Nothobranchius furzeri: one gene and its partners. The protein of the gene in region 1 interacts with the protein of each later gene in a pairwise test. Links are inferred from orthologs where the notes say so. Each region holds a gene or a part of one and is shown in the gene's direction. Other genes may lie near its edges.

What was found.
Region 2: the proteins of mkrn2 (region 1) and htt interact in binary tests that used the Homo sapiens proteins (3 or more experiments, as listed by UniProt). The link is inferred for Nothobranchius furzeri from reciprocal best matches to the Homo sapiens genes MKRN2 and HTT.
Region 3: the proteins of mkrn2 (region 1) and rack1 interact in binary tests that used the Homo sapiens proteins (3 or more experiments, as listed by UniProt). The two-hybrid records come from large-scale screens. The link is inferred for Nothobranchius furzeri from reciprocal best matches to the Homo sapiens genes MKRN2 and RACK1.

The regions. Positions count from the first base shown.
Region 1 is NC_091743.1:77,110,684-77,120,483, reverse strand, and holds the end of mkrn2 (E3 ubiquitin-protein ligase makorin-2), read left to right. Parts: intron 1-859; coding exon 860-988; intron 989-1,167; coding exon 1,168-1,277; intron 1,278-2,391; coding exon 2,392-2,520; intron 2,521-2,616; coding exon 2,617-2,792; intron 2,793-2,878; coding exon 2,879-2,944; intron 2,945-3,014; coding exon 3,015-3,163; intron 3,164-4,414; coding exon 4,415-4,525; intron 4,526-4,641; coding exon 4,642-4,786; intron 4,787-4,876; coding exon 4,877-5,041; 3' UTR 5,042-5,373; downstream 5,374-9,800. Other genes in the region: protein FAM107B, read left to right, coding at 6,388-6,411. UniProt on the Homo sapiens protein: E3 ubiquitin ligase catalyzing the covalent attachment of ubiquitin moieties onto substrate proteins.
Region 2 is NC_091746.1:25,519,775-25,530,496, forward strand, and holds part of htt (huntingtin), read left to right. Parts: intron 1-1,846; coding exon 1,847-1,984; intron 1,985-4,288; coding exon 4,289-4,447; intron 4,448-4,522; coding exon 4,523-4,620; intron 4,621-4,707; coding exon 4,708-4,847; intron 4,848-4,957; coding exon 4,958-5,021; intron 5,022-5,102; coding exon 5,103-5,203; intron 5,204-8,166; coding exon 8,167-8,313; intron 8,314-8,508; coding exon 8,509-8,629; intron 8,630-8,707; coding exon 8,708-8,850; intron 8,851-8,925; coding exon 8,926-9,110; intron 9,111-9,199; coding exon 9,200-9,426; intron 9,427-9,547; coding exon 9,548-9,674; intron 9,675-10,722.
Region 3 is NC_091741.1:97,228,150-97,239,341, reverse strand, and holds rack1 (small ribosomal subunit protein RACK1), read left to right. Parts: upstream 1-4,044; 5' UTR 4,045-4,156; coding exon 4,157-4,265; intron 4,266-4,728; coding exon 4,729-4,900; intron 4,901-6,101; coding exon 6,102-6,249; intron 6,250-6,537; coding exon 6,538-6,633; intron 6,634-6,792; coding exon 6,793-6,903; intron 6,904-7,141; coding exon 7,142-7,282; intron 7,283-7,472; coding exon 7,473-7,583; intron 7,584-7,783; coding exon 7,784-7,849; 3' UTR 7,850-7,900; downstream 7,901-11,192. Other genes in the region: nme5 (nucleoside diphosphate kinase homolog 5), read left to right, coding at 8,841-8,975, 10,784-10,983. UniProt on the Homo sapiens protein: Scaffolding protein involved in the recruitment, assembly and/or regulation of a variety of signaling molecules. Interacts with a wide variety of proteins and plays a role in many cellular processes.

The DNA.
Region 1 (9,800 bases):
CAGGTCCAGTTCTATAGAAACACACAGGTCCAGTTCTGCAGATCACACAGGCCCAGTTCTGCAGATCACACAGGTCCAGTTCTGCAGATCACACAGATCTAGTTCTATAGAAACACACAGGTCCAGTTCTGCAGATCACACAGGCCCAGTTCTACAGATCACACAGTTCTGCAGATCACACAGGTCCAGTTCTATAGAAACACACAGGTCCAGTTCTGCAGATCACACAGGTCCAGTTCTGCAGATCACACAGGCCCAGTTCTACAGATCACACAGTTCTGCAGATCACACAGGTCCAGTTCTATAGAAACACACAGGTCCAGTTCTGCAGATCACATAGGTCCAGTTCTGCAGATCACACAGGTCCAGTTCTATAGAAACACACAGGTCCAGTTCTGCAGATCACACAGGTCCAGTTCTGCAGATCACAGAGGCCCTGTTCTACAGATCACACAGTTCTGCAGATAACACAGGTCCAGTTCTATAGAAACACACAGGTCCAGTTCTGCAGATCACACAGATCCAGTTCTATAGAAACACACAGGTCCAGTTCTGCAGATCACACAGGTCCAGTTCTGCAGATCACACAGGTCCAGTTCTGCAGATCACACAGGTCTAGTTCTACAGGTCAAACCGGTCCAGACCACTCTCTATTGGATGATTCGGTCCAAACGTGCTGCATGGAAGCCAAAAATTTCGGGGCTTCCTTCTCCCAGTCTGTTACATTTCATCATTAGAATGGGTGAACTTTTTGTGGAGTTAAAAAGAGGTGGATCACATGTTCAGAGCTGGGGTTACCTGAGTAAATGGAACATGACAGGCAATCATCAGTAAGGTTGACAGGTGTGCTTCGTTTCAGGTATTTCATCCATGGAGTGTGCAGAGAGGGCAGCCGCTGTATGTTCTCTCATGACCCGAACAACAGTAAACCATCAACCATCTGCAAGTTCTACCAGAGAGGAGTGTGTGCCTACGGAGAGCGCTGCAGGTGAGACAAGCCTGACGGGCAACAGGTCAGTCTGGTAGGTAGCAGATTAATCTGACAGGAAATGATTCACCTGACAGGTAATATTGGCTCCGTTTGACCTAGACAGTAGTAAAGCATCTGCTGATTGGGTGTGGTTGCATCGCTTGGACAGGTATGATGGTTGTGTGATGTGTGTACAGGTATGATCACATAAAACCCACACCCAGAGGAGGAGGGGGTGCACCTTCAGAGGACCTGGCAGGTGGAGGCAGAGGTGAAGCCAAGAGGACATTGGTTCTGAGGGACAGAGGTAAACACGTGTTTTTGGTTTCAGCCTTGAACACCTGTAGAGTAGGTGATATCAGCACCTAAATTAGCTATTATTTGTGTGTGTGTGTGTGTGTGTGTTTTCAGTTTGTTACACCTGAGGATTGTTCCACAGATCGAGCTAATCCCATAAATCAGGCTCACTCAAAAAAAATCCCGGCTCATTTCCCAGTTTGGTTCCTCGAGTGAGTGTTATGGCCCCTTCTTCTTGCCTGCCGGCGGCACCAAGGTGGTGCATCTCTGCCTCCGCTGGCCCACAGCAGTTGCATCTTTATTTTTAGTGGCTAAATTATTAATAAATGTGGGTTTAATCTTTTAAAATTGAGTTCTAGTTGAATTTGTATCCTTCTGAAGAATATTGTTGTGTTTAATCTTCATTAGCAGCCAGGAGCGTTTGATTCCACTGATGCTGCTCCTGCTTTAGTCTGGGATGGACCCGTATCATTAACATGCTGTCCTCTTTATGTTAAATAGCTTTAAATACTTACATCTGCCAACATAACATGTGTAAAAGGAAAACTTTATAGGTGTGACTATACATTTTAACAGCTTGTACTCTGGACAGCAGACAAGTCGGGTTAAGTGTCTTGCCCAAGGACACAACGACAGCGACGAACTGAGCGGGGCGAGCACTTAACTCCCGTGCCACCGTCATGGCAACAGACCAAATTTCACTTGGGGTACAATATCCCTTTAAAGACATGAGGGTCAGGTGACCAACATGAACTTATCTTCTTAAAACTCACAGCTGCTCAACTAAATGGCTCCAGCTGCCCAGCTTTCATCAAACAGCTGAAACCTTTGTAATCCTTGTAGGCGTGAATTAATTCTTGCTCTACCTGGGAGAAGGACGTGGCTCTTTCTTTTCCTTCCATTCTCACTCATCTAGCATGGATTAACGGACTGCCTCCACCTGAGCATCGTTTGTGGAACAGAATAAACCTAGCTAGACTCAACTGATAAGCTAACTCAAGTGAGGACTTTTAAATGTGCCTCGATTTTCAGAGTTTGCTTCAACAAACAAGCCTCTGGTGATGTTCAACATGCGACTGTGGTGGCCACACCCCCTCTGTCACCACATCTCTTCTGCTTTTCAGCTCTGGGTGGTGATGCTGCGTTTGGCGGCCCAGTACACAGTTTGGACTCAGGCTTCTCTGCAGCAGCAGCCCCACAGACATATGTGGACGCCATCAGAACTGGACTGGATGTCTTGGCACTAGAACAAGGTCTGGATTGACCCGTCTGATTGGCTGCTCTGTTTGATGTCATCAGTGTGCTTGGAGAAGGGGGGATAAACTTCTATCTACCTGCCTTTTCTGCAGAATCCCATCCAGTAGGCGGGGCTTACCAAAATGTCCCCCAGCTGTGTCCCTACGCTGCCGCTGGACACTGTCACTTTGAGGACAGATGCACATATCTCCATGGCAACCTGTGTGATGTATGCGGCCTGCAAGTGCTCCACCCCTATGATGCTGAGCAGAGGAGAGCGCATGAGAAGGTTGGACTAGGTTCTGTTAATGGAGATGTCTTTGAGTCCAGGATGGTGGGAACCTAACGTGTGTGTGCATGCGTGTTTCCCCACAGATGTGCATGCTGGCATTTGAGGCTGATATGGAGAAGGCCTTTGCAGCTCAGCTCAGCCAGGATAAGGTGAGTTGGTTGAGTATGTAAGCTGGTTGCCTTGACGGCGGCCATCCTCACTGTTGTTGTTGTTGTTCAGGTGTGTTCCATCTGCATGGAGGTGGTGGTTCAGAAGTCGAATCCGTCAGAGCGAAGGTTTGGCATCCTTTCCTCCTGCTGCCACACCTTCTGTCTCACCTGCATCCGACAGTGGCGAGGAACCAGAACCTTCTGCAACAAGATCATCAAGTGAGAGTCGGATTCAAACCATCCAGGGTCCGGGGCCAGAATCTGGGACTGGGGCAGAATCGGGTCCTAAGAAGTTTTTTTTAGACCCAGAAGACTCTGGAGTAGGTGTGAGCGAGTGTGGGACTGGTTCTGTCTCCCTGTGATGGACTTGAGACTAGAGGTCAACCAATACCGGTTCTTCTATTGCCGCTGCCAATATGTGGGAGACACGATCAGTCGATGGCCGATACATACTGCTGGTTTTTATGGGCTGATCTTCATCCAGTCATTTTCCACCTCATGCTGAAATGTTACTGATGGCATCAGTTGATGCACGAAATCTCTGAAGTCGAATCGGTTATGAACTCTGACTTTAACTTATCTTAACTTTGTGCACTGCTCAGGGTTAAAGTCAGGCACCTAAATTAAGTACATTTAGAGTATTTATTATACAGATGTCATTAGTGAACGTAAATTTAAAGTAAATTGTGCAACAGCACTGGGATGCCTGAGGATGCGCCTGACTTTAAATCAGCTTTACTAAGGACAAATATCGAGCTGATATAAATGTCTACCCCTGCTTAAGACAGGTCCAGGTGTCCTCCACCTCTTTCTGTTTAATGCTGGAGTTAGACACGAGCTCCCTGCGACCCGAGTGAGTGAGTTTCTTATTTCCTGTTGCCATGGCGGGGTCTCTAGAGGTTCTGACTCGTACACGGCTCTGACCTGCTGATTTTCACAACTTCTGATTGATTTCTAACAACTGAAAATACCAGATTACCCAAAAAAAAGATTAACATGAAGATTATGAATCTATAAGGAAAACGCTCCACCCTGAAGATACGTTACTTCCAACGTGCGTTAACATTTATTGCTCACATGTTTGTGACCTGAGACTAATCCTTGATTATTAGGATCATGGTAAAAGTTTTCTACAGGTTAAACTGTAAAAATGTTCATTAATGTCAGTAATCCAGCTCAGACTGAGAGACCATCTAAAAGCCGAAGAACCCTCTGCAGGTGTTCTGGATTCATTAGCTGATTAGAGTGCGACACTTTGGATTAGCAAGGAACGAGTCTGTCTCGTAGATTATTTTCACCTTTAGGTTGGATTACTGACATAAATGAACTCCTGGACCAGTTTCATCTGTAGGTGCAGGAACGGGATCGGTTTGTGTCTCTGAGACGGAGATCGCATACACATCTGCTTTAAAAAGCATCTTTGCTAGTCTGTGGTTCTGTTGGACCTGAGCGTCTCTCTCTGCGTCTTAGATCGTGTCCGGAGTGTCGGGTCGCCTCGGAGTTCGTCATTCCCTCTGTGTACTGGGTGGAGGATCAGGCAGAGAAGGACAACCTGATCGAACTCTTCAAGTCAGGTGTCAGGTGAGCTTTGTGCTTGAGCCCCGCCCACTTATCTTCAGCCAATGAGCTGCTAGTTTATAAAGGAAGTTAAAGCCGCAGGTGGAAGTGTGTTTTCATGTGTTGTTGTTTGTGTGCAGTAAGAAGGCCTGTAAGTACTTTGATCAGGGTCGTGGCTCGTGTCCTTTTGGAGGGAAGTGCTTGTATCTTCACACCTTCCCAGACGGCACGCGAGCAGAACCGGACCGGCCTCGGAAGCAGCTGAGCTCAGAGGGGAACGTCCGGGTAAGAAACCACAGCTTTTTCCTGGGAGCGGTAGTCCATCATCAGCTGGATTTGTAGTTTCTGATGCTGAGTTGTGTTTTCTCTGTTTAGTTCATGAACAACGTTCATTTGTGGGATTTCATCGAGGAGCGTGAACAGCGATCAGAACCGCCCCTTCCGTCCCTGGATGATGACCTCACAGAGCTGCGGGAACTCTTCATGCAGATGTCGGGTCCAAGCCAGGAAGAGTCAGAGGCTCCGCCCACTGTAGACTAGTGAAGATGTTCCTCCCTTAGTACCTGCTGTCTCCGTGGTAACCTGTGGCTCAGCTGGATCAGATCACCATATTCGCTCACATTGAATCGTTTGACCTCTCTGTAACCTCCTGCATTTGTTTCTGCCGGTTTAATTAAGGAAATTAAAGAGTATTTATTGTGTTTAAAAGGAAAATTGGGAACTGTAAATGAATTTTAGCATCTAGTTGAAACTAATCTCACACCTGAGTGTTTGATTCTCACGCGGATGTTAAATGATCACAACATCAGGAGAACCAAAGCTGTCTGCAGATCAAAAGTGTAAACGTGCTGAAATAAAAAGTTTGTGTTTGATTCTGAGCTGCATTGTTGCTCCTGGAAACCTGAAACCTCCAGTTCAATGTCTCCTCAGATGGAGAAAACCAACGTTAACCAGAGAAAGCTACCGAACGCTAACGCAGCTTTGAGTCTAGTCTCTAACTCACACCTTCATACTTTCAACCAAAACCCCGATGAAGGTTCACCATCCAGAAAGGATGAGCGCAGCCTCCACGGGTGGAGGTCCTCCTGTCCACCTACAGCTGAAGGACAAGTGACACAGCAAGGCTCACTGGTTCAAGAGGAGTCAAGGAGGACATCTGTTTTCAAACATCTGCTTTCACTCCGGTCCTCAGCTTCTACTGATGAAGATCTCAGTACAGTTAATCAGCCTGAAGCTCTTTGAATGGACGTCTTCTGAGATGAGAAGTCTTCCGATGGGAAGAGGCGGTCCAGTTCACCCAACGAGGCACAGATTCTGATCTGGAGGCTCACCATGAGCAGGAATGACTCAGTGGTTCCACCACCCTGAAGGAAGGAGTGGGTGAATTCTCAGCTCCACAGCAGGCTGGAGGTGGATCCATCTGTCCTTTGGAGCGGGCTTCCTCTGGCTCCACACGTGTTGGTCTGTCATCTTCACCCTGAACTTGTTTAGTGGAGAAGACTCCAGATTCAGACTTCACTGCTTTCTGGTTTCTTGTCTCCTCCAATTACATTAATCCAGTCAGAGCACCTTATCTCCCCACAGCTGAGAGCAGAGAGTCATGTGGGAACAGGTGGCAGGGACACCTCCTCCTCCTCCTTCTGCTGCTGCTCCACACATTCGGACACTCAGACTGGCTCAGCCCTGTCTGGCTGCTCACTTCTCCACCGCTTGTTGATCTGAAGTTTTCCTCACCCTGTGGCGAGCTAATGGACCCAGAGACCCGGGTGTCCCGCTGCCGGGCCAAGGGGACAGGACAGTGAGGAGCAACAGAGCCGGATCACTGCTGCTGGGAAATAAAGAGCTGGAGTGGAGAGAAAGGAAAGAGGCCCGTTGGAGTGGGAATAATGGGAGCTGCTTATGGAAAGAAGGTCAGTGAGTTTTTAAAGGTTCCCTTTGACAGAATAGTTCCTCCTCACAGGCTCTTAGACTTTTAGGAGGTCCTGAAGGTGATTTGTCGACTGATTAGAAGGACCAGTGACTTTCTTATGAACAAATGTTTACCCCCATATGATTGTAACTAAACCCTGAACGCTGACTGCAGGTGGAGCTGAATGTAAGCACAGCTCATGAGCATTAGTTTCTGCTCTGTTGTTGCTGGTGTTTACTTGCTGGAAAATGTCTAAACCAGCCTGCCGGAACAGATCTGATAATCACGTTAATGCTGCATGAAATGAGTCCTGGCTGTAATAAGGTCCGACCGGGGTTCTGCAGGTCCTGACATCTCCCAAAGTGCTTCAGTGATTCTGGTAATCTCTCACTGATGATGGAGATGCTTGTTGTTTATCCTGCTTGCATATGGAAGCCTGTGCCAGAAAACAACATGAAAGGGTTAAAATGATGTTTGTTAAGACAACCACAGGTTCAGAACATCCTGCTGCTCATCCAGCCTCAGGGCTCCAGTCCTGCTCCTCACAGAGAACAGACCACAGGTTCTCAGTCCCACCAGGAGGTCCATTCTCCAGCGGTTCAGATAAAATGTGGCTGTTAGACGTTCAGACGGGTGATCTGATAAATGTCTTTGCCGCTGCAACAAAAATCGAAAACCAAGACGAGGTCGAGACGCACCAGGTTTAGATTTATCCTGACATGAGTTCTAATAAAAATGCTGAATATTTCAAATATTTTTTTATGAAAATATTAGGCCACAGTACTGCCTGGTAACTAGAAGCACAAGCCCTCACTGACCTTTACTAAAAAGCAGACGTGTGAGCTCCGGTCATAAAACACGACCCAGATACTGATAAGACTCACGTTTATTCATCAGACCCAGAAACTAGAAAACAGTCAGATCCAGAGACTTCCTGTCATCAACACCAACCGTGTCACAGCAAAACACGTGACTGTTAAAAATTTAAATAAAACGTTCATCTGACACTAAATGCTTAGATACTCCTGCTTAGGTCAAACTTCTTCTGCAGCTGTTTGGACCTGTCCTGATATTCAGCTGAAGACCGTGTCCTCTCTGGTTCCTGCTTCATCCTCAAAGCTGAAGCACTGCCCTGATATCTAACACAGCTCAGATCTGCAGGGACAAAAACACAGAAACTACAGGAAAACTACCCTAAATAAACTTGACAAGCACAAATGTGTGGATGTGGTGCTGAAGCTCCAGTGATGGCTGAGTTTGTCTTTGTGGGTCTGTAGGAAACCGGAGCTCTGAAAACTATTTGAGTTATGAGGGGCTCAAACCTGTAGAGGCGTGTGGGCTGGTTTCCACGGTGACAAACAGCTGACAGCCAGCCGTTCGGGGGGCCTGACTGGAGGTCGAGTGGCTGTAATGTGGAGCTCACACTGACTCATTGAGTTATTTAAAGTTATATGTTCCAATGACAACAGCTGAGGCATGTCTCAGGGTCAAAGGTCAACAAGGGGAGAGTAATCTATCGTCGACCAGAGACTCGTTAAAAAGAAAATATTAATCAAGTGTTTATTTAAGGGGAAACACACACACACACACACACACACACACACACTCACACACACACACACACACACACACACACACACACACACACACACTCACACACACACACACACACATGCAGATTTCTCTGGATTTGTTCCTTCTGGACCCCCCCCCCCCCCCCCCCCCCCCAGACAGGGTTCCTCTTCCCCCTGGTGAGGTTTGAGACTGGTCACCAGCAGAGCTTCTGCGTGGTTTGCAGGTGTTGCTTCTTTTTAATTACAAGAATATTTTTAGACTCTAAAAATTCAGTCTGGTGATAAAGGTGTAACACAGCCCAACAGAACTACTCAGAACTTCTAGACCGGTTCCACTGGATCTGTGTCCCAATGACAGAATGTGATAATGTGATCAACAGGTGGTGCAGTAAGACTGTAGAGATGTTCTGAGTGAAATCAACGGGCCTGGAAGTAGCGAGAACCTGCTAATCGATCGAAGCTTCTGCCAAATGTAAATACCAGTTTTTACACAAATGACCCAGAACCGGGTTTCTGGGCGGTTCTGGTCATAATAATTGAATCCAAGTTCTGATTCATCTGAAACTCAAAACATGAAGACAGGGTGAATACAGCAGAAAAAAAAAGGATTTCTGAGTTTTTCTGCGATTTGACCAATCAGAGATCAGCACCGACTTCCTGTGAGGAGTTCAGGAATAACAGCAGAAAGGTTTCAGCTGTACTTATGTAACCAGAGCACACCTGATTCAGGATCAGATCCGTCAGGCCACTGAGGTGTGTGTGTGTGTGTGTGTGTGTGTGTGTGTGTGTGTGTGTGTGTGTGTGTGTGTGTGTGTGTGTGTGTGTGTGTGTGTGTTGTGTGTGTGTGTGTGTGTGTGTGTGTGTGTGTGTGTGTGTGTGTGTGTGTGTGTGTGTGTGTGTGTGTGTGTGATACACACACAATCAGCAGGTCAAAGCATGGATTAGGATGAGCAGAGAAGATCCTGCAGCTAAAAATAAATGAACAACTGATGTGACTGTCTCAGAAACAAGAAGAGAAAAGAAGCCAGAACCTTCAGAAATAAGAAGACAGACGTGTTCTGATGTCCTGCCTAGAACTTCAGTCAGAAGTTAGAATGGTCTGAGTGACTTTGGAGACACATTAAAATAAAAATAACTTCTACATGAGTGACTAAAACTGGAGCTGAAGGTTCCCACTCTGTGTGTGACCCTGAAGTAACCTGACCCTGGTCCTCAACCTGCAAGTGAGAAAGGTCTCTGGTTCTGGTTCTTCTGGTCTGAGATGTAATTTTACTGTGGCTCCAGCAGGAGTCAGACTCCCCCTTCTGGTCTGAGGCTTTTCAAGTCAATCTAGGCTTTAATGTGTGTGTGTGTGTGTGTGTGTGTGTGTGTGTGTGTGTGTGTGTGTGTGTGTGTGTGTGTGTGTGTGTGTGTGTGTGTGTGTGTGTGTGTGCGCGTATGTGCGTGAGTGTGCACGTGTGCAAGTGTGAGAGTGTGTGTGTGTGTGTGTGTGTGTGTGTGCGTGCGCGCGCGTATGTGCGTGAGTGTGCACGTGTGCAAGTGTGAGAGTGTGTGTGTGTGTGTGTGTGTGCGTGCGTGCGGTTTACATGCAGGTGTGTATTAAACTAAACCATTTAATTAGTTTGGAGAACTGCAGAGTGAGTTATTGGACCATAAATGGATCATTACTGGGCTGCCACTGGGTCATTATGGGGCAACAAGGACAGACAAGTTATGTGCCCACCCTGTAACCAGAGGGTTGCCGGTCTGAGTCCCACTCAGTCTGTTGGAGTTGTTGTGTCCTTGGGCAAGACACTTAACTCTCTTGCCTGCTGGT
Region 2 (10,722 bases), on another chromosome or scaffold:
GACCTCATAAAGCTGCTGTAGCAAATTTGGAAAACAAATTAGCTTAAAACGTTTTTAATGCCTCTTAACAATGCTCTTATATAGCATAGCTATAAATATATTGTGGAGATAAAAATTTTTAAATTTAATCATACATTGAAAACAGTTAAAGCTATTAATATTTTCTCCCATTGTCTTATTTTTGTGTTTGTGAAGCAACTTTTTTTTATCTGGAGGAGCTTTATAAAAACATGTTCTACTCCAAAAATGCATGGAGGAGATCTGTAGGTAGAAATAGCTTTTAAATTTATTGAATAAAAAAAATCCACACAGTTTTCCAGCATTACCGCAGCAGGCTGAAGCTGTCTGATAGTTTTTCCGCACTGAAACGTCAGCTCCGTGAGAGAGACGCACACATTCTGACACCTTAGCCTGTCTGAACTAACGTGTGCCGTCAGAAACATTCAAACCATTTGTAAAAGACAAGTTGGGCTTTTAAGTTAACTAAAGTGTGCGACTCCGCACTCGCGCTGATGAAGCAAAAACCAAGCTTTAGAAATCAGCCTGAACCTGCTCTGATGTGGGAGGAGTCTCTCTCTCTCTCTCTCTCTCTCTCTCTCTCTCTCTCTCTCTCTCTCTCTCTCTCTCTGTCTCTCTCTCTGTCTCTCTCTCTCTCTCTCTCTACATGTGTGTATATATATATATATATATATATATATATATAAAAATATATATAATCGGCTCTAGCAGCGCTGTGTGTGGGAACATGAAACAGGGAAAATAACCTGAACATGCAGCTCTGGCAGCTGTGGAGTTGGTCTCGGCTCTGGACTGTACGCCCCACCCCCCTCCCCCGCGCTGGCTTTTGCCGCCGCCGTAACACCGGGGAAAACCGCGGATGTAAAACAAAGTTACACAACTGATCCTGTATCAGTCAAAACCGCTAAAACTGCAGCTTTGACGGTCACGTGATCGTGCTGTTTGAAATTGCAGTTTCAGTTAAAAAATGTTGGATCTTTCAGCCCGACAAACTACCAGAGTCCCAAAAAGAAAATCACCATTTGAAGTCACGGACGACAAGACTGTTGGACCTAGAAAACGGTGACGGGTGTTTAGCGCTATCTCGTTATTCTGGCATCGTGGGTTTCTGGTTCTGGTGGACACAGAACAAGGGAAGATACTTGGATGTCATGGGAGCCAGTGGGAATGTGCTTCTTTCTCTAGCCAGCCCCTAGTGGATGAGGGGGGAACTGCAATGTTAGTCGCTGGCTTGTTGGTCTCACTTGACTGCAGGTGGAGTTTGCCCCTTCATACAGATTATAAACATTTGTTTCATCACATTCATGTTTTTTCTTCACATGGTAACACAAAGGTAACTCCCTCATGTCGGAGCTGAAGGGTGAAGGGTTTTCAGTGCGTTTCAAGTTCAAAGTCACTTTTTCAGGATTGCCTTCCCTCCGTGACACTTAACATGAAAATCCAGCACCGGGTTTATTTTTCTTGATTTAGTTTTTATTTATTCCGTAGCTCACTTTTAACACCTCGTACCATCTTGTAGTTTTTTTGGTTTTATTTTCCATTTCAAATGGTTTTTATCATTCGTTGCATTATTTTTATTCTTGATAGTGCCGTTAACGGTTCTCTTATTCCATTGTTTTTATTAGGGATTTTCATCCTTGATTATTTATGCTATGTTTTTATGTATTTGACCTGATTTTCATGCTTTCATTGTGTTTTGTTGATTTGTTCAAGCATTTGGCTCTTTTATGTACAGCACGTTGGTTAGCTACCATGCTATTTTGAAATGGTGCCTTATAAAAAAATTGGTATGGTATGTTTCTGTTTGTGCAATAATTTGTTTGCTCAGGTTTGATCCCTGACAAAGAGGTGCGAGTGAGTGTGAAGGCGTTGGCTGTCAGCTGTGTCGGCGCAGCAGCAGCGCTGCATCCCGAAGCCTTCTTTAACCCCCTCTACCTGGAGCCGCTGGATGGCGTTCCAGTAGAAGGTAGGACAAAATAAAATAACACAGCGAAGCTCTTTAAACTGAGTGTTGCAGTTGTTGGTGTTGTTAAAATGCGTTTATAATAATCTTTCTGTGTTTTATGGCTCTCATTGATGGTAGAGTAGATGATCCTGGAAAAAGCCATGCAGACAAACTACTTTCAATTCAATTCAAGTTTATTTATAGAGCGCCAAATCACGACAAGAGTCGTCTCAAGGCACTTCACGTAATAAACATTCCAATACAGGTCAGTTCATTAAGCCAGTCAGAAAAAAGTTTCCTATATAAGGAACCCAGCAAATTGCATCTAGTCACTGACTATAAAGCACACGACTATTTTTCCAGGATAGGTAGGCCTCCTCATGGTGCGTAGAGCGCCATGTTCTCTCCAATTTTCTAGAGTTTTGTTTTAGAGCTTGTAAATGAGAATTAAACCAGGGAGCCAACTTCCTGTCCCTAATTACCTTCTTTTTTAAAGGGGCAACATCATCTAATGCCACACGTAAAGAGGAAGTAACATTATGAACTAAGGCATCCATTTGTGAGGAGCTAGTAATGAAAATGTTGCCCTCTGCTACGTTCCTCTGAGATGCTGAGGTCAGTAAAGATGGAACAGTTGATTTAAAAGATGCAACTGCGTTGTCAGATAGAGACCGACTATAGTGAAATTTACTTTCATGTCTCGAGAACTCAGTTATAAAAAACTCAAAGGTTATCAGAAAGTGGTCCGAGAGGACTGGATTATGTGGAAAGATGGTTATTTCCTCACACTCTATGCCATAAGTCAGCACAAGGTCCAATGTATGATGGCAGGAGTGGGTGGAGCTATGTATTCTTTGAGTAAAACCAATTGAGTCTAAGATATTACTAAAGGTTACATTGAGGCTATCATTTTCAATGTCCACATGAATATTAAAATCCCCCACTATAATGACCTTATCAGTATTTAGCACCAAATCTGATAAAAAATCAGAGATCTGATCCAAAAACTCAGAGTAAGGGCCTGGTGGACGATATAAAACTACAAACAAGAGCAGTTTTACAGTTTTATAATCTGGATTAGGAAAACTAAGAATAAGATGTTCAAAAGAACTGTAGCTATTAATTGGTAAGGGATTGATTAATAAGTCTGAAATAAAAATGGTTGCTTTTACTTTTACACCTGATGATGTTTTTTCTGCTCAGCATTCGTCTCTTAAAACCCAGACATGATGTCGTCCTAAAGCTGGACAACATCCATCAACACGTAGTTGCTGATGTGAAATCCCACCTTTGAGCTTGAGCTGTAAACCCTTTTGTTGAATAATAATGTAGTTACAGCTGTTGTGGTCAGATCTAAAAGACTGTCATACATTGCAAGGCCTTGCACCTGGTTTGTGTTGAGAATGAGGGTGTTTCTCAATGTCAAGGCACCTGGCCTTGCAAGGTGATGTCTTGCGAGGCCAGGTGCCTTGCTTACGAGGACCTTGGTCAAAGAAAACGGTAAAATGGAACAGACTTGCATCATGTGACCGCAGCTTCCACGGCGGTCACGTAACGTCACGTGACACGGAAGATAACGTTATATTTCATCTCTATTAGTTGCAATATAAATATATAACGAGCCTTTGAATTTTTAAATTGTGTATATGTTAATTAAATTAAAAATATAAGCGAGTTACTACCCGCTAGCCACCGAAGCTGCAACTACCAAGCAACTAACAACCATAGATAACTCTTAGGATCTAAAAAAAATTTTTTAAATTAGTTTACTTACTTTTAAACTTGAAAATTGTCCCCGAAGTAGCTGCCGGCTTCTGATCCACTGTCTTTTTTCAAAATACAGCGGTGTATTGTGGGTAATTTTTGACCAAGGCTAGGCTACAAGACCCCTCCCGTGTGTCCTCGCTCAGCTAGCTAAACGGCTAACAAACGGAGAACACACGCCTCGGTAGAACACGAACATTGGAGCATGCCTTGGCGGCTCCCGATGACGTATCTCCTAGGCAACCGGGGCGGGGCCAAGACATCACGGCGAGGTTCCTCGGCATTGAGAAACACTCTGACTCTGCTAGCAGCGTGAAACGGAGGTCTGGTGGCCATCTTGAATCGAGTTGACTCGGTGTTTCCTCGAAGTGAATCTGGTGAAAACTTCCTAAGATATTTAGCAAACAGACATGCCACGTTCCAGTGTGGTATTTAAAGCATCATTAATCCGTTTACAGTCACAATATTTACAAACTGCATATTTGCTAAAATATCTCCTATTTTGGGTGATTCCTGCAGTGGACCGTGACCTGCTGTGTTTTATGCTGCATCCCTTTGCAGAGCGACAGTACGTCAGCGACGTTCTCTGCCTCATCACCCACGGGGACCCCCAGATCAGAGGAGCCACAGCCATCCTCTGCGGAGCCATCATACAAGCTGCGCTAACCAAAACACGCTACAACATTCACACCTGGCTGGCCAGTGTGCAGCGTGCAACAGGTTAGCGTCTGCTTTTTCTGCTGCTGGCATTCTAAACCTTATAAAAGTAGCTCATCAGGTCTGCCTGCTCTTTAGGTAACCCTTTGTCCCTGGTGGACTTGGTGCCTTTGCTCCAGAAAACTCTTAAAGATGATTCCTCTGTCACCTGTAAGATGGCTTGTTCTGCAGTCAGGGTGAGGTGGACCCGTGTGCTTTTTGGGTCTCGGGGCTCTAGCTGCAGTTGTGAGTCTGACTTTTTTTACTACTTGTGGGTGTTGCAGCACTGCATCATGACCCTCTGCAGCAGCACCCTGAGTGAACTCGGCCTGCAGCTGGTGATCGACCTCTTTGCTCTGTGGGACTCTTCCTACTGGCTCGTTCGCACCGAGCTCCTGGAAACGTTGGCTGAGTTAGACTTCAGGTAAAACAAACTCGAATACCCAAATCCAACATCTCAAACACTGACGAGACTCCAGATATTCTGTGTGTCTGGAGGATTTCCACATGTTAAAGTTCCTGATTTTTCTTTAGATTAGTCGGTTTCCTGGAGAGGAAAACAGAAACTTTACACAGAGGAGCTCATCACTACACTAAGGTAGGTTCAGACCTGTTTTCGTCCGTGTTTCTGTTATTAGTCCGGAGCTTTATTGTTCTGGGTTGGTTGATGTTCTTCTAGTGGCTGCTGCTGCAGGACAGAGTTCTGAATGACGTGGTCATACGTCTGCTGGGAGATGACGACCCAAGAGTCCGGCACGTGGCGGCGTCTGCTGTCAGCAGGTGTGTGACGGACTTGTGTTGATGCATCAACTGCAGTACCTAGATCTGACCACAGAAGGTCATTCTTCCTTCATGCTGCTTTAAGCTAGTTTTATTTCCTTGTTTTAAATCAGGGGTCGGCCGCGGCTCTTTTATCCATCTGATGCGGCTCCCTTCTCGTAAAATAATGAATGAATATTGAATATTATTCATTTTTTATCTGTATGCCAATTCTAAATTTAAAGATTGTCAGCGTAAACCGGAACAGGTCCAACAGCTGACAGGTCACCTGCAAATGTCTCTATAGGGGCTTTCTGAGTTGAGAAGGATGTGAGATTCTGGACTTTTGCCTCAGACAGGCTCATGAATGCATCGCTGCGTCGCCACATTGGAGACAGGAACAAGCGCTATTCAGCCAAAGTTTCATAATAGAGTACATTTTCTAAGAGACGAGTCTCTCTAGCCTTTTTCAGATAGACATTCTGGAACATTTGTGGACAATTCAATCCGGTTTTTAACCGGAACTGTGTTTTCAGACACACCACTTTTGTACCGGAACTTGTCCTTTCGGCTGCGTTCACACAGCAGGGAAAAGTTCCAGATGTCTGACGGCGGCGGGGGGTGGGGTAGGGGCGGAGAATCTGACTTATGTTTAGAAGAAAAAGAAGAAGAAAATATCATTTCTATAGCGCCTCTCCAGATAAAAATCACGAGGCGCTTAAGCATAATTCTGCGCACACGAAGACGCATAAGAGACCTGGATGATGAAGCTCAATGGTTAAAGGAATCACTGAAGCGGTGTGAAGCGCTCCATCGCGCGTCTAGGCAGTACCGTAGGAGGCAAGCTGCCGTGGTTCGTCGCATGCTACAGCAGCGAGCTATCTAGGTGCGCACAGCGTCCCCGTTCCCCTCCTCCTTCCCCTCCCCCTTGTCCGGAACTTTACCTCACCAGTCTGAAGCAGCCACCCTGTCTGTAACAAGTCCGGACCTGTTACTAGGGGTTTCGTCCGGTAAAATTCCGGAACACCTTATCCGGATGTTTGTATTCAGACACAGAGGTCTTACGGACAGAGTCCGGAACATTTCCGTTTTTCATGGCCTGTCTGAAGGGGGCTTCTGAGAGACACGGTTTGGGAAACACTCGCTTCAGTGAGAGGAATCTTCCTGCATGCGCACCGGTTCTGCAACGCGCTCCAAACCCCCGATCTACACATCAGCTGAATAAATCTTCAGCTCGCTGTCCACCTTACGCATGCGCTGAGCTCAGTGTCCAGCTCTGATGGGAACCTTTTCTTGATTGACATAACTACTAGGGATGAGCCGGATACTGGTGTCAGACGAGTATCCGGTACGGATAAAATATTTTTGACGAGTACGAGCATGAAACGAGTAAAACTCGTAAATATCTGTAATCGTGCTGAAGGAAAATCCTCATTGGGTAACTGACTGAGTTCCCGCTCTGTGATTGGCCAGTCAAATAGAGTGCCCGCCCCTCCCTACACACAAAACTGCAGTGGGAGCTCACAGCTCAGTCCGCGTCCGGTCCATCCACGCGCGCGCACACACACACACACACACACAGACCATAACGGATCTCTCTGTGCTTGCTTCACTGTTCACGTTTCTTCAATACTCCCTACGTTTTCTTCAGTTTGCTTCTTTTTAAAGTTACTTTAAAGTTACTTAAAGCTGCTTTTTCCGTAACGTACGTGGTGCATTTGACGAGACAGAGCTGAAAACAGCTCGTGCTGCGTCAGTCACTGCCTCCGCTCCGGTCGTTTTTTTCCCCTCCCCTCTTCCTCAGGATCAACTCCCTCGTTCCTGTCCACTCTCTCTCTTTCTTTACATATTTTAATCACAATTGTCTTATTTTTTAATCATTTTAAATATATTTTAATCATTTTCTAAATTCTTTTTTTCTTTTTTACATGTTTTGTTTTTGTGAAGCGCCCCGTGATTTTTATCTTGAGAGGCGCTATAGAAAAGATCTTTTCTTCTCTCTCTCTCTGCACTTAAATATTAATGTTCTGATTTTATTGAAAAACTTGTTCTGTAATAGTTCCTTTACTATTGTGATCAAAAACATTTAATCTCAACTCTGAGGCTGCTCTGTAAATAGTTTTCAAATAAACAATACACATAGCAACTTCTGATCAGACTTAAAACAACGTATTAATGTAAACCACACCCACTTCTGGTTAAACTACACCCACTTCTGGGTTAGGCCACGCCCACTCCGAGTACAGATACAGATAGTGGTGTACTCGCTCATCCCTAAGAGGACAGAATGCGCAGCTAATTAATTAAATAATTTGGTTCTGTACCTTTCTCTTCAGCACAGCCGACAAAGGTTTATGATGGGTCAGTCCTCCTGCATGCTCAGATCATTCCCTTCCCTTGCTTGAAAAATTGTTCCAAAATGAAAGTAGAACCCACATCTTTTTTATCTGTGAATTCAATGCCGTTCAGCGAGTCTCAAATAAAAATTTGGGCATCTTACTGTAAAAAATATACCATTAATGTAAAAAGAAACTCTAAATGAACTATGTTCACATCCAGAATCAAACCCGGATCCTCAGCACGAAAGTCCGATGTCTTACTAGGCGAGCTAAAGCGCCAATGACGTCCTTTGTATCTGTAACATTTATATCATTGATGACAGCTGAAACAACGTTCAAAGAACGGTTCGGAGGGCTATGCCTGAGCGTGAACGCGCATGAAGCAGCCTGCTCGACCCGAGCAGCTCTCTTTTTCTGTGATCTTACAGAAAAACAGGCAATCACAGTAAAAATGCCAGGGCTCATTCTCCAGGACCAGGGCATTGCAGGAGAATGTATGAAGAAGACATTTATTATTTCTATACATGTTTTGGCTGTCAAACTTCCATAATGCCCCTTTAATGTGGGAAACGGGTAATAACGTCTCTTTGATGGGAAAAGTTTGCCGAGCCCTGTTTTAAATCAACCCGCACTTCTCTCTACTAGACTAGTTCCAAGACTGTTCTTCGACTGTGACCAAGGCCAAGTGGACCCAGTGGTGGCGATTGCTCGGGACCAGAGTTCGGTCTACCTACAGCTGCTGATGCACGAGACTCAACCCCCGTCTCAGTTCACGGTCAGCACCATCACAAGGTGGGCTTTTCCTTCTGTAGCACCCAGAGCTGTCGGCTGTTTCAGCCGGGGGTGCTCTGACGGTTGTCATCACTGCTGTAGCGCTCACCGCGGTGCTTTTTTCTGTTTTGTCCGTGAAAATGAACCCGTTGTTGGATCTTCTGACAGGAACTCGGACCATGTTTTTGCCACCTCAACGCTTTGCTTTACTTTCAGGACGTACCGAGGCTACAACCTTTCTAAAACCGTGTCTGACGTCACTTTGGAAAACAACTTGTCCCGAGTTGTAACGGCCGTCTCGCACGCGTTCACGTCCTCCACCTCTAGAGCACTGACCGTAGGTGTTTCCTGCAGCACCACATTGCTTCACACTGTGTGTTTTTAACGTATTAAAATGCTTTTGCCTCCTCTGAAGTTTGGCTGCTGTGAGGCTCTGTGCCTCCTGGCATCGGCTTTTCCGGTCGGCACCTGGAGCACAGGCTGGCACTGTGGCTACGTTAGCGCTAGCAGCTTCTCGTCTCGTTCCAGTCTGAGCCGCAGCAGAGGCAGGTCCCTCAGGTTTGTGGAACCGCTCTCACTGGTTCCTAATGCCACGGTAGCGCTGTTGTGATTTTCGCTCCTTTGTTTTGATAGTTTGTCCCAGACGAGCAGCGCTCCAGCGTCTTCAGCCGCCACTTCATCAGCTCCAGACGCTGAGCGGAGGACTCTGACCGTAGGAATGGCCAACATGGTGCTGTCCCTTCTGTCTTCTGCCTGGTTCCCTCTGGATCTCTCTGCACATCAAGATGCACTTTTGCTCTGCGGCAACCTGCTGTCTGGTGGGAAGTTTACATAAAAGTGAACCGTCCTTTGGTGCGTTTGTCGCTAACCTGCCATTGACTAACCAGCCTCGTAATCGTGTTCCCAGCTGTGGCTCCTCGATGCTTGCGCAACCCCTGGGTCGGAGAGGAGGAAGGCAGTAGTGGGAACGCCAGTGGGGGCCCAAATAAAATGGAGGAACCGTGGCCGGCACTGTCAGAGCGCTCCCTGGTGGTCATGGTGGAGCAGCTGTTCTCTCATCTCCTGAAGGTGCTCAACATCTGTGCTCACGTGTTGGAAGACACGCCGCCAGGACCAGCCGCTAAAGTGAGAAATGTAGTTTCTTTGTTTTTTTCAAAGCGGCGGCGCACTCGGGCCTTCATTGCTGCCTTTTATTAACCTCTGAGTACAGTTTACAGCTGCATGAGTCTGTTGTTTTTCTCCTTTTGTGTTTTAGGCGGCTCTTCCCTCCCTGAGCAACACGCCCTCCCTCAGTCCGATCAGGAGAAAAGGCAAGGAGAAGGAGGCTGCAGAGCCCAGCACGACTCCTCTGAGCCCCAAAAAGAGCAGCGAGGTCAACGCGGGTGAGTTACTCCAGACCGTGCTCAAACATGGATGTGCAGTCGCCTCTGAACCAATGAGTGATCTGGTTCCCATGGAAACCCTGTAGTTTTCATCGGTAACTTTCACACGAACCCTAGACAAGTGTTCGCCAGAATCAGCTGCGAAACCCTGCCTCTTCTACATTCCAGGGGGAATGAGCATTTGTGGCCCCGCCCACATTTGCTTAAGACCGCCCACAGGAATGAGAGCAGAGTGTGCCTCGGCTAGTAGAAGCTTACCAATAGCATTAGCAGTTATTTGTGGAGATAAAACACCAACATTATAGATTCTACCTAAGAAAGTCGCTTTGCTGTTAGCCAGTCAGAGGCAAGATGTTTCCATATCATGGATGGCGGTCCTGATGGTTTCCAAACCGCACTCCTCCGACCAACTTTTGCTTCTTGAAACAAGAGCGCCATAGCTTTGTTTCCACAGAAATCGACTCAAGAAGCATTCATTCATTCATAGAGACCACAGCAGATATACTGAAGAAACGAGTGAACGAGTTTAGGGGTGGGCGATATGGCCTAAAATCTGTATTGCGATATAATCAGAAAAATATGCGGTAACGGTATATATTGTGATATATGACTTTCTTTTGTATGTATGTCAAAAACGACAGTTTCTAAACATACTCACATTAGGGCTGTCGCGGTAACCGCAAAAATGAAATATCGCGATATGAAGAAGCCCACCGCGCTGCATCATGGGCCACCGCGATTACTGAACTTGGTTCAACTCAATGATGCATGTTGAGAAGGATGGCTGCACTGGTATCAACACGAAACGTTACTTCGCTCCTTTGGGAGCGCTTTGGTTTTCAGTACGTCAGCTGCTGCGCAGCCAGAGTCCTTGGCCGAGACAGAGCTGCCACCAGCGGCAAATAAATAAATAAATAAACGCTCGGAGACCTGCTGAAGTCCCGGACAAGCACTGCTTCTGCAGCCGTCCCGAAGAGAGTTTGAGCCGAGCTGGAGCTCACTCGCTACCTGCAGGAGGAATGCATCCACCCTAAAGAAAACCCCCGTG
Region 3 (11,192 bases), on another chromosome or scaffold:
AAATCTGGTCCGTAAACATGCAGACAAAAATAAACTTTAAAGTGTTATGGTTTCATTTTATCATGCTAATGTGTCTTTTCCTTTTTGGTCGTGAGGGCAGCTTGAGCAGAGTTCTGTCTGTGTAGGTTTATCTAATTCCATTATTTTGTTCTTTTCCAAACACAGTGATAGATATTTGTTATTTACCTTTTTACAGACAGGTTTAGGCTACATCTGTAGCCGTTTTCATCATTGGTGACGCTCTGAAGAAGGCTACAGATGTAGCCCAAACTTGTCACCAAGAAGGTAAATAACATTTCTAATACTCAGTGTTCAGAAAAGAACCAAAGATGGAATTGGCTGAGCTCTCACTTCGGCATAAGAAACCGCTACAATGCCCACATCACTTTAGATGCAACACCAATCCTATTGATCGCCCACTACATTTTCCCTCACTCATTAGGAGAAGGCATTCTACCCTTTTCTGACTCAAGACCATGGTCTATGATTTCCAGGTGGGATTCTCATTCCGGCTGCTTCAAACTCACCTGTGGCCGAGATCACGGTCTGATGAAGCCAACAGGAACACATTATCTATAAAATGCAGAGAACTGATCCTTGGGCCACCAAAACAGATCCCCTCAACACCTTGGCTGTGCCTAGAAATCCAGTCCATAGATGTTAGGAGCAGAATCTGTGACAAAGGGTAGCCTTTGGACAGAGTCCAACTCATGGGAATGAGCCCAACTTACTGCAGAGTCCGATAAATTTTAGTGGCTGGGCTGCAAAGTGAAACAGCAGTCCACGGGGGGCGCTCATTACTGGCCTCCATCCAGGCACGAATGGATGCAATATCTGCATCAACATCCTGGGCCTGGCTCAAGTCCCCCATGGTCCAACCATGAAACAAAGGAACACATGTACCTTCTCAGTCTGCTTTACAACACGTGAATCAGTGGGAATGTTCTGATGTATTGTGTCTGTATGTGTGGAAGTGTTTTGGTCTAGACTCTAGAATATTTGTGTTGGGTGTAGGGGTGCTTTGACTTACCCCCACTGGACAGACTGTTGTGTCAGCCCGCCGGTCGCTCTTCCACCCCCACTGGACTCAGCAACAGAAATCTCCCATCAGAATCCAAGCTGCACTGGAATGCCAAATGTGTAGATGGGTTCGGAAGTTTGCATAGGCTAGACAGGTGGCATGGTCTTCTGGAAAGACTATCAGCATTTGTGTGCACCCGACCCGGGTGATGAACGATCTCAAAGTCATATTTGGCAAGCTTCTCAAGCCAACGAGCTAACTGTCCTTCGGGCTCTTTCATCTCTGTAAGCCAATGCAGGCTTCCATGGTCTGTGCACACCTTAACCCTGTGGAGGCAGGCGTTGCTGATTTGCAATGTTAAAACCTACCTACCTGATGCTCCACATACATATTTCATGAGCATTTTTTAACTTAGAAGTACCCCTGAAGGACTTAGTTGTTCGTCCTTTTATCAAAACTTATTTTGAGCCTGAGAGGGTTAAAGGGCTGCCCCAGGAGATACTGGCGGAAATGGGAAGTGAAATCCACAATGGCCAGCAATTGACTAGTAATTAAAATTGCGCCCACATTTTCTAAGTTAACACACATCTCTTTTAACAATGGTAGTTTTTGCATCTTTACAGTTCCCCTGCTTCAGAAGTTGAGGGCTTCCAGGAGCTCCCTCTAGCTCACCCATATTTCGAATGTTGCGTATAGCACAAGTTTGTCACGTGAGTTGCTGAATCCTAGCAGACAGTTGCCTTTCAAAATAAAATAGTTCCCGGATCTTGTTCCAGCAAGATCTGGCTCAAATTAAGCCCTGTCTACAAGTCTACAAAACACGTAGATTGGTTGGATGAACTCCTGTGCACCCTCTATGACCCTGCTAAGGGTATAGAGCTGGTCTAGTGTTCCACAGACCAGGAGAATATCACATTTTCCTCCTAAATCTGATTGATTATCCAGGGGACCTTTGTCTCTGGATCCTTTGAAGAGACTTTGCCTGCTAAGCTCAGGAGTGTTTTCCCCCTGTGGTTGGAGCACACCATCCAGTACCTCTTTATAAATAGGGGGATCATCACCCCAGTCTGTCAATCCAGTGGAACTGCCCCCAGTATCCACAATATTTACTGTGCCGCATCAACCAACACAGTCCCACAACATCCAGCGCCTTGAGGAACTCCAGGCGAATCTCACCCACCACTGGAGCCCTACCACTAAGGAGTCTCTTAACCACTTTGGTTGCCTCAGCACTAGAGACTTGATAGCCCAAACCCCCAGAATTCACTTCCTAAATGGAAGATGTGCCAGTGGAATTGAGGAGGTATTTAAAGTACTCTTTCCACTGACTCACAACATCCCAAGTGGAGGTCAGCAGTACACCATCCCCACCATAAACAGTGTTGGTGGTGCAGCTGTGTCACCCTCCTGAGACATCAAATGGTGGACCAGAATCTTCTCAAAGTATGAAACTCCTCCATGGCCTCATCAAACTCCTTCCAGCAGGTATTTTCTTCCTCCACCACCTGAACCACACTTCACTTGGTATCTGGTGCCTCAGACCAAAAGACTCAACAGGCACATACTACTCTGTGGCCGTAGCTCTAGTCAGCTGTTTCAACTTTTATTTTAGTAAAATAAAGCAAATGACTAAAGAAGTTTGAAAATGACATGTTTTAGAAAGTAAAACGTCATCTGCTAGGATGATCAAGTCTTACAGTGAGAGGAGGCTTACCATACAATTTTTTTCTAAGCACACAACACTGTTACCAATATTCTCACTTCAGCCTAATGTAACAGTGTTGAAATAGTGTAGCTGTGCAGTAGTTTACATATAGAAATATCAGATTATTCATAAAACATACCAGTAGAAAGCCTGGAAATTGAAGGATTCCAAATGTTGTTCAACATGTGAGATAAAACATTAATTATTTTGTAGCGTGGCATCATTGTCTTGTCTGTAATTGGCCTTTTTTTATTAGGTTATATGTTTTTATGGTTGTTTTATATTGTCTTATTTGTACTTGTTGCCTGCTGTATTGTCCAGCACCTTGGGTGTTTGATGAGATTGTGGAAGGGACATTACAATCTTCTGTGCATTCATTCTGGGTCTTTTTAACTTGTATTTTTTTTTTGGTTCTCTTTTAAACACAGGAAAGAAAAGTTTTCTTCTCTGTGTTTAAAAAAGAACCAATAAATAAATAAATAAATAAATACAAGAGACTTTACAAATAAAGTGAAATGAAATGAAAATTCAAATTTTAAAGATTGTTTGTTAATCAGTACACAAGTATAGAGCAGGCATGTATGTGGCCCTCATTTGTCGCCCTTGGAGCAATTTATGTCACTGTCGTCCCCCCCCCCCCCCCCCCCAACATTGTATGTTCAAACTTAATAGTCCATTTTGACAAATTTTAGGGAGTACAAATGCAAGAATAAATATTTTTAGCATTTAAAAAATGTATATGTTGTGGCCTACAAGGACAGTTAACTTGCTGATTTTGGCTCTTATCTAGGAAAGTTTGGACATCCCTGGTATAAAATATATCAAGGCGTCAACTTTAAAGCCGCCTTTCACATGAAAAGAAACAAATATTATGGGATTAAAGCTCGTGTGTGTGTGTGTGTGTGTGTGTGTGTGTGTGTGTGTGTGTGTGTGTGTGTGTGTGTGTGTGTGTGTGTGTGTGTGTGTGTAACATAAAGTATAAAAAATACGGACGTTTGTAAAATATAGAATATTCTAAAATCAGAAAATTTGTGTCCATCACAGACATTTTATTTTACTGGTGCTATGTTTCGTAAGAGCTTAATTTCCTTTATTCATTCAGACAGAAACATATCAGGGATGTGCACAGCTGTTACCAATAACCAAATCAGTGTGTATTACTTATATATAATGGTGATGTGTTGTAAGTGAAATGTTTTATCATGTTTCTAAACAGTCCCCTTCAGTCTTTTCTTGTAGCACACTTGGATGACTTGGGGAAAAAAACATATCCCAGAATGCTCTGCGAGCCCTTCACCCCTCTTAGTTTTTGCATCCGGGTCTGTACTTCCTTTTCCTCCGTGCCTAGATGCGATGAGGACCTAGGTTTTTACGAACCTGAGAAATATCCGAATCCATCCTTGTAAAAGGCACCACCGAACCTCGTCAAAATGACCGAGCAGATGACAGTGAGGGGGACCCTGAAGGGCCACAGTGGATGGGTCACCCAGATCGCCACTACCCCTCAGTATCCCGACATGATTCTGTCGGCGTCCCGAGGTGAGGCTTCCCCCGCCGGCAGCCGCCAACATGGCTACAGCTAGCTTTGTAAGCTAGCAGTGACTCTTTGGTAATGTTACAAAAATACGATTTTTGCGGAAGTGGCAGAAGACCGCTGAAATGTGATTACAACAGCCTAAAGGCTCATTAATCGCTTATAGTGAACATTTGCGACTTCAGAAGTGGAGGAAACCTGGTGTAGTTAAACTTGTGCTTTCTAGCGTCATTAGCTGGATCTACTGTGTTTCACTCCTGGGTTTACACCAACATAGCACCGACACTGATTCATCCAGTTAAACATCAGACTACTTGACATGAGGTTATAAGGCCTTGAACCAAGCGCTGCAATGTGATATTAACTTGATATTAACTTAAGTGCTAGCTTCGCATGCTAATGCTACCTACCTGCTCTTTGCTTTAGGCAATACTCCTGAGTCCTGAACCTTATGTGTTAAACTTTCAGACAAGTCCATCATCATGTGGAAGCTGACTCGTGACGAGACCAACTATGGGATCCCTCAGCGCTCTCTGAGGGGCCACTCTCACTTTGTAAGTGATGTTGTCATCTCCTCGGATGGACAGTTTGCTCTCTCAGGCGCCTGGGACGGCTCCCTCCGACTGTGGGACCTCACCACGTAAGTACAGCTAGGAAGAAAGCTTCTACATCAGATCCGCTGTCCTGTAAATATATCTCTTTACCCGTTTACCTGCTCCCAACATATTTAAATGTGTGAGAGCATCTAGAGAAGTCAACTTAGGAAGGTTGTGATGAAATCAGTTAATCTGGGTCCTTTAGAGCAGGAAACGTGTGGAACTTGCAGGATGGTACCCCTCAAGGAAAAAAGTTGCTGACCCTTGATCTGCATCATCTAAGCATCTATGTGGAACACAGTTTAAACTAGTTAATGCTTTTCTTTTTAGAAATAAGTAAGTTGGTAAAGACTTGCATGTTTGTATTAGCTGGAAGTATGTCCTTTCTAAATTTAAGTTGTAACAAACATCCTGGATAGTTTTAAAGATATGATTTGTCACCTTTGTTCTATAAATGAAAATGTGTTTGAACCGATGTTAACACACAGTCCGCGCTAATGCGTATTTGTTACTAGAGCTACAAACATTTCAGCACTTATGACCTCTAAATACCAAGTTGCCAGGGAACATAACTTAAGCCATAAAACAGTTGGGAAATGACATCTAGTTAAGCTACACCATGTGTAAACCCAATCTTGGTGAACAAACTTCATTTGCGTGTACATGACCGTGCAACAGCTTTTTATACTAGTGTTTTGTACCACAGATAGAACTTCAGTAATCTCGCACTAAATAATAAACAGCAGACATTTAAAAATGCAGTTATATACAATTACAATGTTTGTCAGAGATCCTATAAAATAAATTCTCCCAGTTTCTTGTACCCGACACTGTTGTTCCACAGTGTTATTGTCCTTACTACACCTTCATCACTTTATACACTCCTTAGTTGTGACTTAAGAGAACAGTAGATCTAAATAAATGGGTTTGGGGTTTATACAGGAATAAAACTACAGTCCATGTTTGAACAGTTTTAATCATCTAAGTGAGGAGCTGGAATTTGATTCTGGCTAAAGTGCTGGAACCCGATATAAACTGAACCTAAAAAAAATTGTCATTGATCGGCATTAAGGTTTGTGTACTAAAGTGATTTGTTTGAATACAAGTGGGGAAAAAAACTGTTTTAACTCCTTAAATGACTGTAGCTTGTAGAGGCCATAATTAGTAGAGGAGGGCAGGCATTTTAAACTGTAAACTTAATATAGCTTTATTCTAATCGGACGTCTTAATCTTGTGTTTTTCTAGTGGCACCACCACCCGTCAGTTTGTTGGACACACAAAGGATGTTTTGAGTGTGGCTTTCTCTGCTGATAACCGTCAGATTGTATCTGGCTCCCGAGACAAGACCATCAAGCTGTGGAACACTCTTGGAGTCTGCAAGTACACCATTCAGGTGAGCTGTCACTTAATGCTGCTGCTGCTGCTGCTTAGAGCTGTTCCTTCTTTGGTTTTCATTTAGTTTTTGTTCAAGCTTTTTTTTTTTTTTTTAACTAGTTTTACATTTTCTGAGGTAGAGCACACAGCTCAGCCATCAGCTGGAGCATTGTGGACTAAATCTGTATGATGGTTTTAAGTGTGTAGTGTGTCAGGATCATGGAATAAGTCTCGGTGGTTACATGAGCTAAAGTGAGCCATTGTTGGGATGAGCTGAACTTTAAACTGTTCAAACTTGATTTTGCAGGATGAAGGCCATTCTGAGTGGGTGTCTTGTGTTCGCTTCTCCCCCAACAGCAGCAACCCCATCATTGTCTCCTGTGGCTGGGACAAGGTGGTCAAGGTATGGTTTACTAGTAATTTGCTAATGTTTGGTCCTGGTTAGATGGTTTAACTTAGTTTGCATTTATTAGCTGACTACTTGCGTAAGACAACCTTTTTTATGATTAGCTTCCATGTTGGATGTTGATGTTTGTTCTGTCTCGGGTGTGATGCCTCTCAGGTGTGGAACCTGGCCAACTGCAAGCTGAAGACCAACCACATTGGTCACACTGGCTATTTGAACACAGTGACCGTCTCCCCTGATGGCTCTCTGTGTGCATCTGGTGGAAAGGTAACATCTGCTTCCAGTAATTGTAGATTTCTGTAAAATGTTCTTTTTTAGAATCTTTAAGTGAACGGACAAGTTTTTGCAATGATGGAAAATTAATCATACATCTGTTTTAAAATGATGACAATAGAGGCTGTTTCTGAGCACGACTTGAACTTGTCACGATCCCCGTTTGTGGGGTTGGGTATCGTGTTAAGAGCTGCGATGTAATCACTGAAGAATGTTTTCTGTTGGTGTTCAGGATGGCCAGGCCATGCTGTGGGACCTGAATGAAGGCAAGCACCTGTACACCCTGGATAGTGGTGACACCATCAACGCCCTTTGTTTCAGCCCCAACCGTTATTGGCTCTGTGCCGCCACCGGCCCCAGCATCAAGATCTGGGTAAGATGTTAAGCTAAACATGTTATCAAGGAGGACTGTGATGAAATTTAAAATGTTAGCTGTATTGTTTGATGATATCAGAGGCTGTTTCTGAGCTCCGACCCAATAGAGAATGTCAATAAATTCAGGTATGTTACTTATTACCTTGGTTAGAGATACCATCACTCTGGTTCTCTTTTACCTCATTCAGGATCTGGAGGGCAAGATCATTGTGGATGAACTGAAACAGGAAGTGATCAGCACGAACAGCAAGGCAGAACCGCCACAGTGTACTTCCCTGGCGTGGTCTGCTGATGGACAGGTACGACACTCTCTGGAGGACCTTTAAATGCAGATTTCTGTTGTGACCCCTGTGATTATACCCATTCACTTTTAACTCTGATTAATTCTGCTGACAGTCCTGCAAATATGAGGGGCACCAGAGAACCACTCACATGATTGAGCCTTTTTGAAAAGCGTGCTATTATGGATGCTAACTTCTGTTCCTCTTTTACTCAACAGACCTTGTTTGCTGGCTACACTGACAACCTGATCAGAGTGTGGCAGGTCACCATTGGAACACGATAAGAACAGCCTTGCTAATGCAGCTTTGAATAAAGAGACTCTTTGAAAATAAAATGTTTTGATCTTGTATTTAATTTTGACTGTTAAATTGTTTTTTATCAAAAGGGAACATCGATCACATCGATTTAAAAAAATCTGCTGAAACAATGATCAACAGTAACGTGAAAAAATGATTGAAAAATTAGGGAAAACTAAGTTTCTGTATTTATTTATTTTACTTATTTTGCCTTTATTTAACCAGGTTGGTCCCATTGAGATACAAGATCTCTTTTGCAAGGGAGACCTGGCCAAGACGGACAGAGCAGCAGCACAAGTTACAAAATTAATACATTCACATTTAAATACATTTCCACATAAACTCAATTAAAACAAACACACTGATGGTCTGGATTCCAGTGACCTAATCAGTCAAATCCACTCAAGGAAACCAAATCCTTGATTTTTAGATCTTTTTGTAGTGAATTCCATGTTGATGGAGCAGCAAAGCTAAAAGCCGACTTTCCCAGCTCTGCGAACCTTAGGAACAACAAATTGCAAAAGTTCACTTGAGCGGAGATTGAACTGATTCTGCTGTGAGGATGGAAACATCCCTATCAGCTTGGACCAGTTTTTATTAAGTGAAATGGGATTTAAAGTCTGAAACATTTCTATTTTTTAACACTGTTCAAATAACTGCTTGTACATTAAATCTTGGCTGCTAATCTGAAATGGAATACAGAATTAAAATTACACAAAAAAAAAACCATGGGACAACCGGTCATTAAAATTTTGATTTAACTGGTGGTTTTCTAAATCTGGGGCTTGTAATTTGGAAAGTTCAACTGACGTTTGCAATTCGCATGGATTGTCCTACTTCAGACGCCGTAATTGTATCCTAGCAACTAGTCGACAGAACGAGCCCAGAGTGCTGCTCCAGGTTGGAGTTCCTTGTTTAGTTTACTGCTACATAGTCAAGTTTTGCGTGAGCCGTATTTCGTGGCCATTTAGCGTTCAGATGAAGATGGATCGTAAAAGGCCATATCACCGTGTCATCGTAGAGAAAACGCTGGCCGTCATTAAGCCAGACGCGTTTCAGCTGGCAGATGAGATTGAGAATGTTATCGTCAAATCTGGCTTCAGTATACTTCAGGTGAGTGGAAGTCACCTACTTTCTAGAGGCGCGTTTTCAATATTTGTGGAAGGAAGATATTTTTATTAAAATAGATTTATTTAGATGCCCGATAAACGCTGATTTCCATTGATCATCCTACGATCTGGTTTCAAATATTACGCTTCATGGCTTCAAAAGGTGACCGCTTTTTGAGGCCGTGTGGCTCTTACGTAGTTTTTTCAGTAGAGGGCAGTAACGGGCTGTAATTTTACTGGAAACCCTATTAAGACACCTTTTAAACGTTTAAAGGTGAATGTCTGCATGGTGTTTCTGTACATCTTTTTTCTTTCTTTTTTTTTTTTTTTTTTTTTTTTTTACTAATTGCACTTCAAAGATACTTATTGCTGTTAACTGAAACATGTCAACCATTTGATCTAGGAATGTGTGGATGTTAAATACTACAGATTACTTATATTTTTTGACTGAAATTTCACATTCACTCTTGACCATGACCTGTCAGTAATTTGCATAGACAAGTTAGTGGAAGACCTAAAACAGTGAACTGTAATGTGTGCAGCTACACACCAAATAATATACATGGGGGTGGAAGACACCCTCCTCTACCTGCAGCACTGGGTATATGTCGATGGTGCTGGCTCACCTCAAAATGCAAAAAAGCAATCTCAAGTGCTTTTAACACCATACAGCCGTGTCTACTGCAGCAGAAGATGAGGGGTGCAGGAGTGGTTGAACATCTGACTGCATGGACCATCAACTATCACCAACTGGCTACAGTACGTGAGGCTGCACAACTATATGTCTGATGTGTTTGTGTGCAGTACTGGAGCTCCACAGGGTATGGTGCTCTCACCCTTTCTATTCACCTTCTATACCTTGGACTTCAGCTACAAAACCAGCAACTGTCACCTCCAGAAGTTCTCAGATGACTCAACCACTGTCGGCTGTGTGTCTGAGGGGAATGACCTGGAGTACAGGTCAGTCACAATGGACTTTGTGGACCGGTGTGAATGTAACCACCTTCGTTGGGGTGCAGGCAGCTCTGACCAAGACTGGAAGCTCGCTTCTGGGCTGCCAACTAGTTTCAGTTGAGGAGACATGTGAATGGAGGATGGTGGGCAAAAGGACCTCCCATTTTGGAAAACCCCTCCCACCTATTGCATTCCACTGTGGAGGCCATGGACAGCTCCTTCAGAGGCAGACTGAGACATTCAAGATGTAAAACAGAAAGCTGCTGTAGGTTATTCATCCCCTCAGCAGTAAGAGTGTAAAACTCCTGAGATCAACTGGTACTGGCATTATCCTGTTACACAATAACATCTGTGCAATATTTAGTATGAGTTCAATACTTGTGCAATACCTGATGTACATCAGCATGTCTGTGTCCCTTGTGCTGCATAGTTCTGGAATCCAAGTTTTTCTTTTTTTATTTGTGGTTTTTAGTTGTTGAAGCTAACAATAATACCTTTGTGTATTTACCTGTGATCTTCTTCTTCTTCCTTTTCTAAGCATATGCGCCGCTGCTGTAGAAAGTTAATTTCCCCATAGTGGGATTAATAAAGTGTATTCTATTCTAAAACATTGTTACAGTTTACAATTGAAATTACTGCTCCCCTTGGTTCTATTTTTGTCAGATATTGCAGTACTGTACAGAACTGCTTTAGACAGATTCATGAAAAGTTGAAGTATAATGTCTGTGAGAGCTTCACAGTGTCACTTGTCCATTTAAACAAATCTGAGCTGTCTGAACTAGCTTAATATTTTTGAAGTTATATTCTATTTTCCACCACAGTGGTTCACTCACTCCACTGCTCTGTTTTCTGTGGCAGAAGAGAAGGCTGCAGCTGAGTCCAGAGCAATGCCACGACTTCTACGCAGACCAGACACTCATGTTCCCCAGTTTGACGGCCTTCATGAGCTCTGGTCCCATTGTTGCCTTGATGCTGGCTCGTGACAATGCTATCGCCCACTGGAAGTCCCTTATAGGGCCTGCCAATGCTACCAAAGCCAGAGAAACCCACCCAGAATGGTAAATCGCAGATATTTCTGCCAGTAGAAAAAAAGCATTTATGTAGTAAAATCAATGTTTGTCTTTTTACAAAGACTCAGGATTTAAATGTCCTCTTGAGGCAGGTTTCTACTTACATCCCAATTTATTAAGACATACCGACAATTTTTGCATACCGTTTCCCCTGATATATTTCTTTTGTACCTACAAAACCCACTGCCATTTTTCCG